Linked DNA regions of Macaca mulatta. The protein of the gene in region 1 interacts with the protein of each later gene in a biochemical or structural test. Links are inferred from orthologs where the notes say so. Each region holds a gene or a part of one and is shown on either strand. Other genes may lie near its edges. The genes, in order: PIAS3 and MITF.

What was found.
Region 2: the proteins of PIAS3 (region 1) and MITF form a complex in vitro, tested with the Homo sapiens proteins (2 studies listed by BioGRID). The link is inferred for Macaca mulatta from reciprocal best matches to the Homo sapiens genes PIAS3 and MITF.

The regions. Positions count from the first base shown.
Region 1 is NC_133406.1:119,438,107-119,442,706, forward strand, and holds the start of PIAS3 (E3 SUMO-protein ligase PIAS3), read left to right. Parts: upstream 1-1,565; 5' UTR 1,566-1,582; coding exon 1,583-1,606; intron 1,607-3,593; coding exon 3,594-4,011; intron 4,012-4,168; coding exon 4,169-4,253; intron 4,254-4,492; coding exon 4,493-4,543; intron 4,544-4,600. UniProt on the Homo sapiens protein: Functions as an E3-type small ubiquitin-like modifier (SUMO) ligase, stabilizing the interaction between UBE2I and the substrate, and as a SUMO-tethering factor.
Region 2 is NC_133407.1:133,472,329-133,476,136, forward strand, and holds part of MITF (microphthalmia-associated transcription factor), read left to right. Parts: intron 1-3,522; coding exon 3,523-3,750; intron 3,751-3,808. UniProt on the Homo sapiens protein: Transcription factor that acts as a master regulator of melanocyte survival and differentiation as well as melanosome biogenesis.

The DNA.
Region 1 (4,600 bases):
CTGTAATCTCAGCTATTCGGGAGGCTGAGGCAGGAGAATTGCTTGAACCCGGGAGGCGGAGGTTAGAGTGAGCCAAGTTGCGCCACTGCACCCCAGCCTGGGTGACAGAGTAAGACTCCGTCTCAAACATAAATAAATAAATAGGTATTTCCATGGAAACAGAAACAGATTTAATCTTGGGCCTGCATGTGAGTGATCAGCTTGGTTGGGATGGGGCCTCTGGAGGGTCCAAGGCTTTGGAGGAAGGAGAGTGAGTAGGTAGTTCAGAGAGGGACAGAAAGATTCCTTTTGTTGGCAAGAAAACCCCTCAATTCATCTTCAGCTACACCAAAGGTATGGGGGCTCTGGTGGAGGTACTGTGCAGGGGTATCTGGAGTAGTTACTGTTAGGTACACTTTGGATTCAGTAGCCCAGGCTTTGCCCTAGGGAGAGACAGTTGTCATTTCAAGGAAGACTGCTTTATACGGTCAGACACCTGGTTCACACGGCCTTAGCAGCAGCGTGCCACCACCCCAATCCCACACATAAGCGTGAGGGGTCACAGAGGTAGTGAGAATGATGGGATCCAAGGATCTCATCTCTCCAGATCCACTCACACCAGGAGTTAATCGCTCCAGCGCCAGGCTCTGAGTCCCTCCCTCTCTCGCCCGAGCTCCGCCCCCCTTCCCTCTCGGCGGTCCTGGCGGGCTTCCCGTGGAGGGGGCGGCCCCAGCCCGAGCGCTAGGCCGGGCGGAGCTCCGGCCCGGGCGGAGCCGCGGCCGCCGCGTCCGGCCGCTGGACCGAACTTCTGCCGTGCGGACAGCAGGAGCGGCGCCGAGCCCCATGCCCCCACCTCTCCAGCCCGCCCTCTGAGCCTCCCGAACCCTCTCTCCATTTCCCACAACTGTGCTGGTAAGTCCCGCTCCCCGCACCAAACTTTTTTTGCTGCTGAGTTTGAGTCCTACGATCGGACCACGAGCTGCATTGTAGTTGGTGTTGGGGGGAGGAGGAGAGGGTGAATTGAGTATAGCTGTCTTGAACTGAATGCCGACTCCACGGCTTCCCTAAGACGGATCAGCGCTCGCCCATTTCCCGAGTTGGAAGACCTCTCGATTTTAGTTGCTTAAACTTATGTAGAGATGGAGATGAGGGTTTGCGCTCCAACTTCGCTACCCCCTCCCCCATTTCTCTGAGCTCTAGCAGTTCCCGATACTTTCCCTCCATCTTTCAAGTATCTTTGGCTCTCTAAAAGCTTGTCCCCTCCCAACTCTGCCGTGGCAAAGCCCCCCTCCACCAGGCACTTCGGACCCGCCTCCTCTTCGTTGCCCTAGGGGACCCCGCGATCTTGGGGGCCATAAACTCCCTCCGGGGCTACGCGTCCTGCCAACCCGCCGCAGACGTGTAGCTGCTGGGTCCGCTGTGGAGGGAGGGGCTCAGGCTGGGGCTAGTCCGAAGCCAGGCGGGCGGGGCCGGGAAGGGGAGGTATAGGGGGCCGGACGGGGCGGAGCAGGCGGCATTTGCGGCCGGCGCCGGGGTGGAGAGTTGTGCGCCGGTCCCTGGGCCTGAGCTCCGGCTCCGGCTAGGGCGCCTGCGATGTCTCAAGATGGCGGAGCTGGGCGAATTAAAGGTACCGGCCCCCTCCCCCATCCCCATCTGGACTGATTCCGGCGGTACGCCGTGTCCGGGAAGCGACCGAGACTGGGTGCCGGGGCTCGGGTGGGCGCCGACGACGTGGCAGGCACGGGCTGCTGAGGATGGGAAAGAAGTGGCTGAGAGCGAGGAAGGGGCTGCGGCGGGGCTCCGGGGGCGGGGCTGCGGGGCAGATGTAGGGGTGGGGCCGAGGGGAATTGCAGCTGTTGGGGGCTGAGGCGCAGGGGGCGGGGACGAAGGGTAGAAGTCGGATTTAGTAGTAGGGGCAGTTGTTGGGGTAGGGCCAGGGGGAAAAGCTGCTCTAGAGGCACTGGGGGCGAGTCGATCGAGGCCAAGAGATGCGACAGTAGGGGGCAGATGCAGGGATGGGACCGCGGGGCAGATGTAGGGGAGGCTCCGGGGGAAAGGCAGCTGAAAGGGTAGGGTCTTTGGGGCTACTCTCGGGATCCGAGCTTTGGGAAATACCAGTAGGCGGCTGAGATGCAGGGGGCGGGGCTGTGCGGGCTGATACCTCGAGGGGTGGGGCAGAAGCATCCTGGAGGCTCAGAGGAAGGTCCTGCCTTAGTGAATCGCGATGTTTGGGCAGAGGCAGAGGCATGTGAAACTATGAGATAGAAAGGAGGGAAGTTATAGGGAAAGCTAATGGAAAAAATAAGACAGGACAGAGAAGATAAAGATTGGGAGAAAGAGGAGCAAGTTTCTCATCACATTCCACAAAAGGGGTCCAAGACAAAGCCTCCTGTGAGAAGAATTGTGTAGGGCTAGCAAGCCCTGCCCATGACAGGATCTCCTAGAGATTCACAGAAGGGAGTCCTCCCTCTAAGGAGAGCGCTCCCCTCCTTCTGCCACACAGAGTTTGGAGGGTGACCACGTCTGAGGACATCTCATAGAACCTTAAACCACCGAGTTCATCCCCATGCCTCCTGGTTTTCTTCTGCCCTTTGAAATGGAGCTATGGTCCTGGGCAGTCTGGAGGTCTAGCCACTGGGCCCAGCTACCTTCAGGAAATTTGCGATTCTGTGCCCTGACTCAGAGGCTTTTCCTTCATCCACCCAGGGCCTCTGTTTAGAGCTCTGCCCGCTCCTCTTCCACCCGTGTAGGGGGGCTGTAGGTTGTACAGGAGTATTATTTTCTCTCTGTAGGAGAGACGCCAGATAATGGTTCCTGGCAGATAGAGTAAACAGGCAGGATACTTGGACTCAGTGAATCACTGTTAATCTCCTCAACCTAAGTTTTGGTCCTGTTTCCCTTCCAGAAAAATAGGACTAAGTTGTGGGGAGGGGGCGGTTATATTAATGATTCCAAGAAAGGATCTGGGGGAGTAATGAGCATTGAACCCTGACCTGAAAACCCCGGCCCACAGAAGCTTCAGAGGCTTGGGGGAAATAGCTGAGGAATTAAGGTGGTTTGGAGGGGTGGGCTGAAGGGCACAATCCTCCAGCCACCTGGCCCCTTTCTTCCCCGTGGGGCTGTCTGGCTTGAATCCTCTTGTCTCTCCCTCCTTCTCCCTGTCTCCTATCCTCTTCCCAGGAGGCTGGGATGAGTTTGAGTGTCTGAGAAAGGGCAAGAGAGGAGATAAGCAGCTTAAAGGAGAGTCCAGACTAGAGGCAGGGTTGGAGGCGGGAGGCTGTGTAGACTTGGAGGTGTGTCTGAGGGTGGCTTGCTGTCTGCCATTCCCTGCCCCACTCTGGCCACTTCCAGGCCTGGGGAGACAGACAGTGTTGCTCAAGCTTGGGGTGGGCAGGGGGTGGTGATGATGCTGACCTGATGGTTGCTAAAGTGGGACTGAGATGTCCCTTTGGATAGGTTGACTACCTGGCAGTAATCCACTAGCTGCGAAGCATCATCTTTCCCATCAGTGCTGGAGGGAAAAAGGCACTGCCCACCTGGTAGCTCAGCCCATGTCTTGGCAGGGCAGGCCTGTGCAACGGAGGATTCTCAAGCTTCTCTGTTCTTCTCCACAGCACATGGTGATGAGTTTCCGGGTGTCTGAGCTCCAGGTGCTTCTTGGCTTTGCTGGCCGGAACAAGAGTGGGCGGAAGCACGAGCTCCTGGCCAAGGCCCTGCACCTCCTGAAGTCCAGCTGTGCCCCTAGCGTCCAGATGAAGATCAAAGAGCTTTACCGACGACGCTTTCCCCGGAAGACCCTGGGGCCCTCTGACCTCTCCCTTCTCTCTTTGCCTCCTGGCACCTCTCCTGTAGGCTCCCCTGGTCCTCTAGCTCCCATTCCCCCAACCCTCTTGGCCCCTGGCACCCTGCTGGGCCCCAAGCGTGAGGTGGACATGCACCCCTCTCTTGCCCAGCCTGTGCACCCTGATGTCACCATGAAACCATTGCCCTTCTATGAAGTCTACGGGGAGCTCATCCGGCCCACCACCCTTGGTATGGCTCTTTGTGGTCCCTTAGTCTTCTGGACTCCCTACCTGTTCCCCAGACATTTCTTAGGCTTTAGTCCTATGGGATCAGTGACCTGGGATGGGGGTGATTTCTGTGGCTGCCTGTGCATGGGCTTGGAATAACTGCCCCTTTGTATCCTCAGCATCCACTTCTAGCCAGCGGTTTGAGGAAGCGCACTTTACCTTTGCCCTCACACCCCAGCAAGTGCAGCAGATTCTTACATCCAGGTACATCTCTTCCAGTCTTCCTCCCTCATCCCTGGGGGGTTACCCCTGGACTCTGCTTTCTGACTTTCTTCTCTTCTGCCCTGCGCTTTTCCCTATCCATCCTCTTGTGCCTACTTGTCTCTCGTTCTTTTGTGTGTCTCTGCTCTATCCTCCGGACATCTAACTTTCAGCCTCTCTGTGCGTTCACCCCTGCCCTCTGGGGGCTACATGCTGATATCTCGTCTCCCTCCTTGTTACAGAGAGGTTCTGCCAGGAGCCAAATGTGATTATACCATACAGGTGCAGCTAAGGTGAGTTCATCCTCCCTATGCTGGGTACGCATTAGGGGTAGGAGTGAAGTGGGAGTA
Region 2 (3,808 bases), on another chromosome or scaffold:
ATAGTAGAGTTTTCCAAAGGCTACATGTCGTGTTGAGATGTCATTGTTCTGACATCCTGTGAGATATGTACTAATGCATAATCGTGTGTTTTCAAAATTTCTCAATTTTAATTTCTAATATGCTAAATATTGATAGACATAATCTATGTAAATAAAGTAAATTTAAAGAGTGTAAAAGGATCCTAAGACAAAAATGTTTGAGAATTGCTGTTTTAGATATTGTGCTAAAGCCATTAGAAACATGATCTCATTTAACGCAGAAAACACACATATGAGGCAAACTCTCCTGTCACTCCCATTCAATATGCTAGGAGATGAGGACCTGGAGAAGTTAATGATTTGCAGAAGGTACAGGAGTAGTAAGTTGCAAAGATAGAATTTGAACCCAGGTTTCAAGTGAAGAACTCTGCTAACTGTGTTGTCAGGCACATTGTCAAAGAAGCACCAGGAAAAGGCTGGATTCGGACACTAACTTCTCATAACCTAGGCTATCTCCAAGGGAATGTAAATATGAAGATCATCCTTATAGACAGTGTAAAATAGAGATTATTTTCTAGTTTTTGGGCTGAGGCTTGTATTCTGTGAAACACAAAACAGTTGAGCATCAGATTTTTAAACCTGGAGGACTTTACTAAAAAAAGTAGTTTGGATTGCCAGCCACCCTTGAAAAATTTGGAGATTGAGCTAGGCTGGACTCGTATTCCCACATGTCCACAATCAGCTGCAGCTTTTGTCTGCTGTTCCTGCTAGGAACAGTGTGTCCTCTGGTTTGCCACAGACCTCACCACTCCTTATTACCTTCCTCGTAGCTCATGTTCCTCATTTATGTTGCCTGTTTGAGGTGTTTGGGTTGGAAACAACTGGAGATGTTCTGTCGACTGCATAGTGTTTATAGGCCATCTGCTTTCAACCTAAAAATAAAAAGTTATTAACAGTAAAAGAGCCAAATATATCCCATTCTGCTTACCCAAACCTGGATGTAATAAAGACCTCACTGACAGTGCCACCTGGAAAGCAAATTGCTTCTTTCTTTACCAAAGCATAATATTCGGATTCATTAAAGAATTAGGATCTGCCAGTAAATTAACATTTATTTTTAAACGTGAATCTCTTTTCAAGTGTAATAGTGAAATAAGCACATTCCACTCATTGCCCTCATTTTATGTTTATTTTAGTAATGTCTATTGTCCTCATCATTATCGTGTCTGGACCCTTTATTAAAGCAAAGTCTCTGTGAACCTCTGTGTACATGCTAAATCAGTCATTTGAAACAATTTGAGATTGGCAACCTGATGGACTGCATTATCCTGGGCATGTAGACAACATTATTGAATTTCAAATTTTTATGCTTAACATTTGTCAACAGTAGATATTAAGCATTTATCACAATTTATAGGTATATATTTGCTTGCCTCTTTTCTTTTTTTGCCTCACCCCAGAATATAAGTTTCATAAAGCTGGAAATTATATCTGTTTGTTCACAATGCATATTCTATGCTTTGTACAGTGTTTAGCACATAACAGTTAATAATGAATGAATAAAGGAATAAATATGTAAATGTATCGGTTGTGTATATGATAACTCATTATTCTGTAGTCTTAAGAATAATATTTAAAAATTCTTGGCAAAAAGGCTCATGCTTTTTCATTTGAGAGTTAAATAGGGGAGAGACTTAGTTCTTATTATCCGCATAAATATACATCCACTTCTGTGTGTGCCATGTTCTATTTAGGATAGTTCCCGGTCTTCCTGATGTGAGGTCAATAGGCAGGTTACAAATCTACGTAGCTAAGAATAAGGTGCATATTAAAACCAGGATGCAAGAAGAGGCTGTTGAACTTGAACATTCAGCCCAGAGTCTCTTCTCTTCTATACTAAAAGATAGTCATCCTGCAGTCGGAAGTGGCAGTTATTCGGCCATTGGAAAAGTCTCATGTAATAGTAGCTTTTAGATGATGTCTCCTCCAAAGGGGCATCCTGCTCTTAACCTATTGCTGAAAGAGAAATACCATTGTCTATTAATACTACTGGAACTAAAGATGAATAGTGAATTGGACTTGATCTGACAGTGAGTTTGACTTTGATAGCTCGTCACTTAAAAAGGTTCTTTTATATTTATGAAAAAAAGCATGACGTCAAGCCAGGGGGAAAAATTGATATCAACATTTAAGAGCAAACTCGTAGGGCTTCCAAAAAAAAAAAAAAGGCCCTTGTGTGAACTTTTTTTTTTACATGCATAACTAATTAGCTTAGGTTATTATAAGCAGGGCTTCTGTGATAAAGTTTCCGGTGGTGTCTCGGGATACCTTGTTTATAGTGCCTTCTCTATGCCAGCCCGTCTTCAAACTGGAATTACAGAAAGTAGAGGGAGGGATAGTCTACCATCTCTCATTGGATTGGGGCCACCTAAAGCATTGTTATGCTGGAAATGCTAGAATATAATCACTATCAGGTGAGCTTTATTCTGACTCATATTCAGTCTTTGAAATATAATGTAATAAATTGATTTAATACAGTTTTTTTGTAATAAACATACTGTTTTCAATAAGTACAAATCTACTCTTTTAATGCTGTTTATTGTTTGATGCCATAAGAAGTAATCCAATGTAGTTTTGAACAAAGTAAATATTAGTAGGATTCTTTTTTTTTTTTTTTTTTTTTTTGCCTAGTGTGTGGCTAAACTGTCTTCATCAGCTCCTGTTCATTGCTCATAAGATTAAATTGTCTTTATCAGGAAAAAAGTGACTTAAAATTGAATAATGTTGTTTTTGGGGGAAAAGTATTTCTCATTCTAAATTACTGTCTGTAGGAAAGCAGAAAAAACATCCTCTTGACTTGTTAATAGTCATGTCTTTTAAAACACATACGTGTAAGTGTTATGCATTTGAAAGAAACTACTTAATGTAGAATTGCTTTTTATGTTGAGTTTTTTCTTAATTAAAATGTTGAATAATCATGTCCAAATGGAAGTGGGAGAATTAATCCACAACTGGTTGATTTAATCACTGGAAGATTTCTATTTATTTTCTACAGCCATTTTACACAGTTGGTTCTTAAGGAGGGGTGTGTGTGTGTGTGTGTGTGTGTGTGTGTGTGTGTGTGTGTGTTTTAAAAAGAAAGCTGTTCTGTTTTCCAAGGAAAGTGAAACAAACTGAGTTATGCCCCTTCTTCTACATTTTTATTTTGTTCTTAATAAACCTTTTCATGTGTGTTGGGGAAGTTTTTGCCCTAAGATAATTTCAAACTTTTAATTATCAGATATGAGAAGAAGATTTGAAAGAGATGTATAGTTAATTAGCAGGGAAACAAAATAGGGCAAAGTATTACCCCAAATCCTACGAGTTAGACTTTAAACTTCAGTAATATCAAAATCCGTTAGCACAGTGCCTGGTACATAACAAAGGCTTAATAATTTATTCTGTTGGTGGACTGGTCAGTTTCACGTTTGTGCCTGAAAGAAGAGCCATCTGAAACTCACAAATAACAGCGCTGTCTTCATTTCCCTCCATGGCTATGTTCAGGTGCAGACCCACCTCGAAAACCCCACCAAGTACCACATACAGCAAGCCCAACGGCAGCAGGTAAAGCAGTACCTTTCTACCACTTTAGCAAATAAACATGCCAACCAAGTCCTGAGCTTGCCATGTCCAAACCAGCCTGGCGATCATGTCATGCCACCGGTGCCGGGGAGCAGCGCACCCAACAGCCCCATGGCTATGCTTACGCTTAACTCCAACTGTGAAAAAGAGGTAATTCATGTCTCCTCTCCTCTCCTGTTTTCTTATGCTAAATAACTTGTCTGTTGAA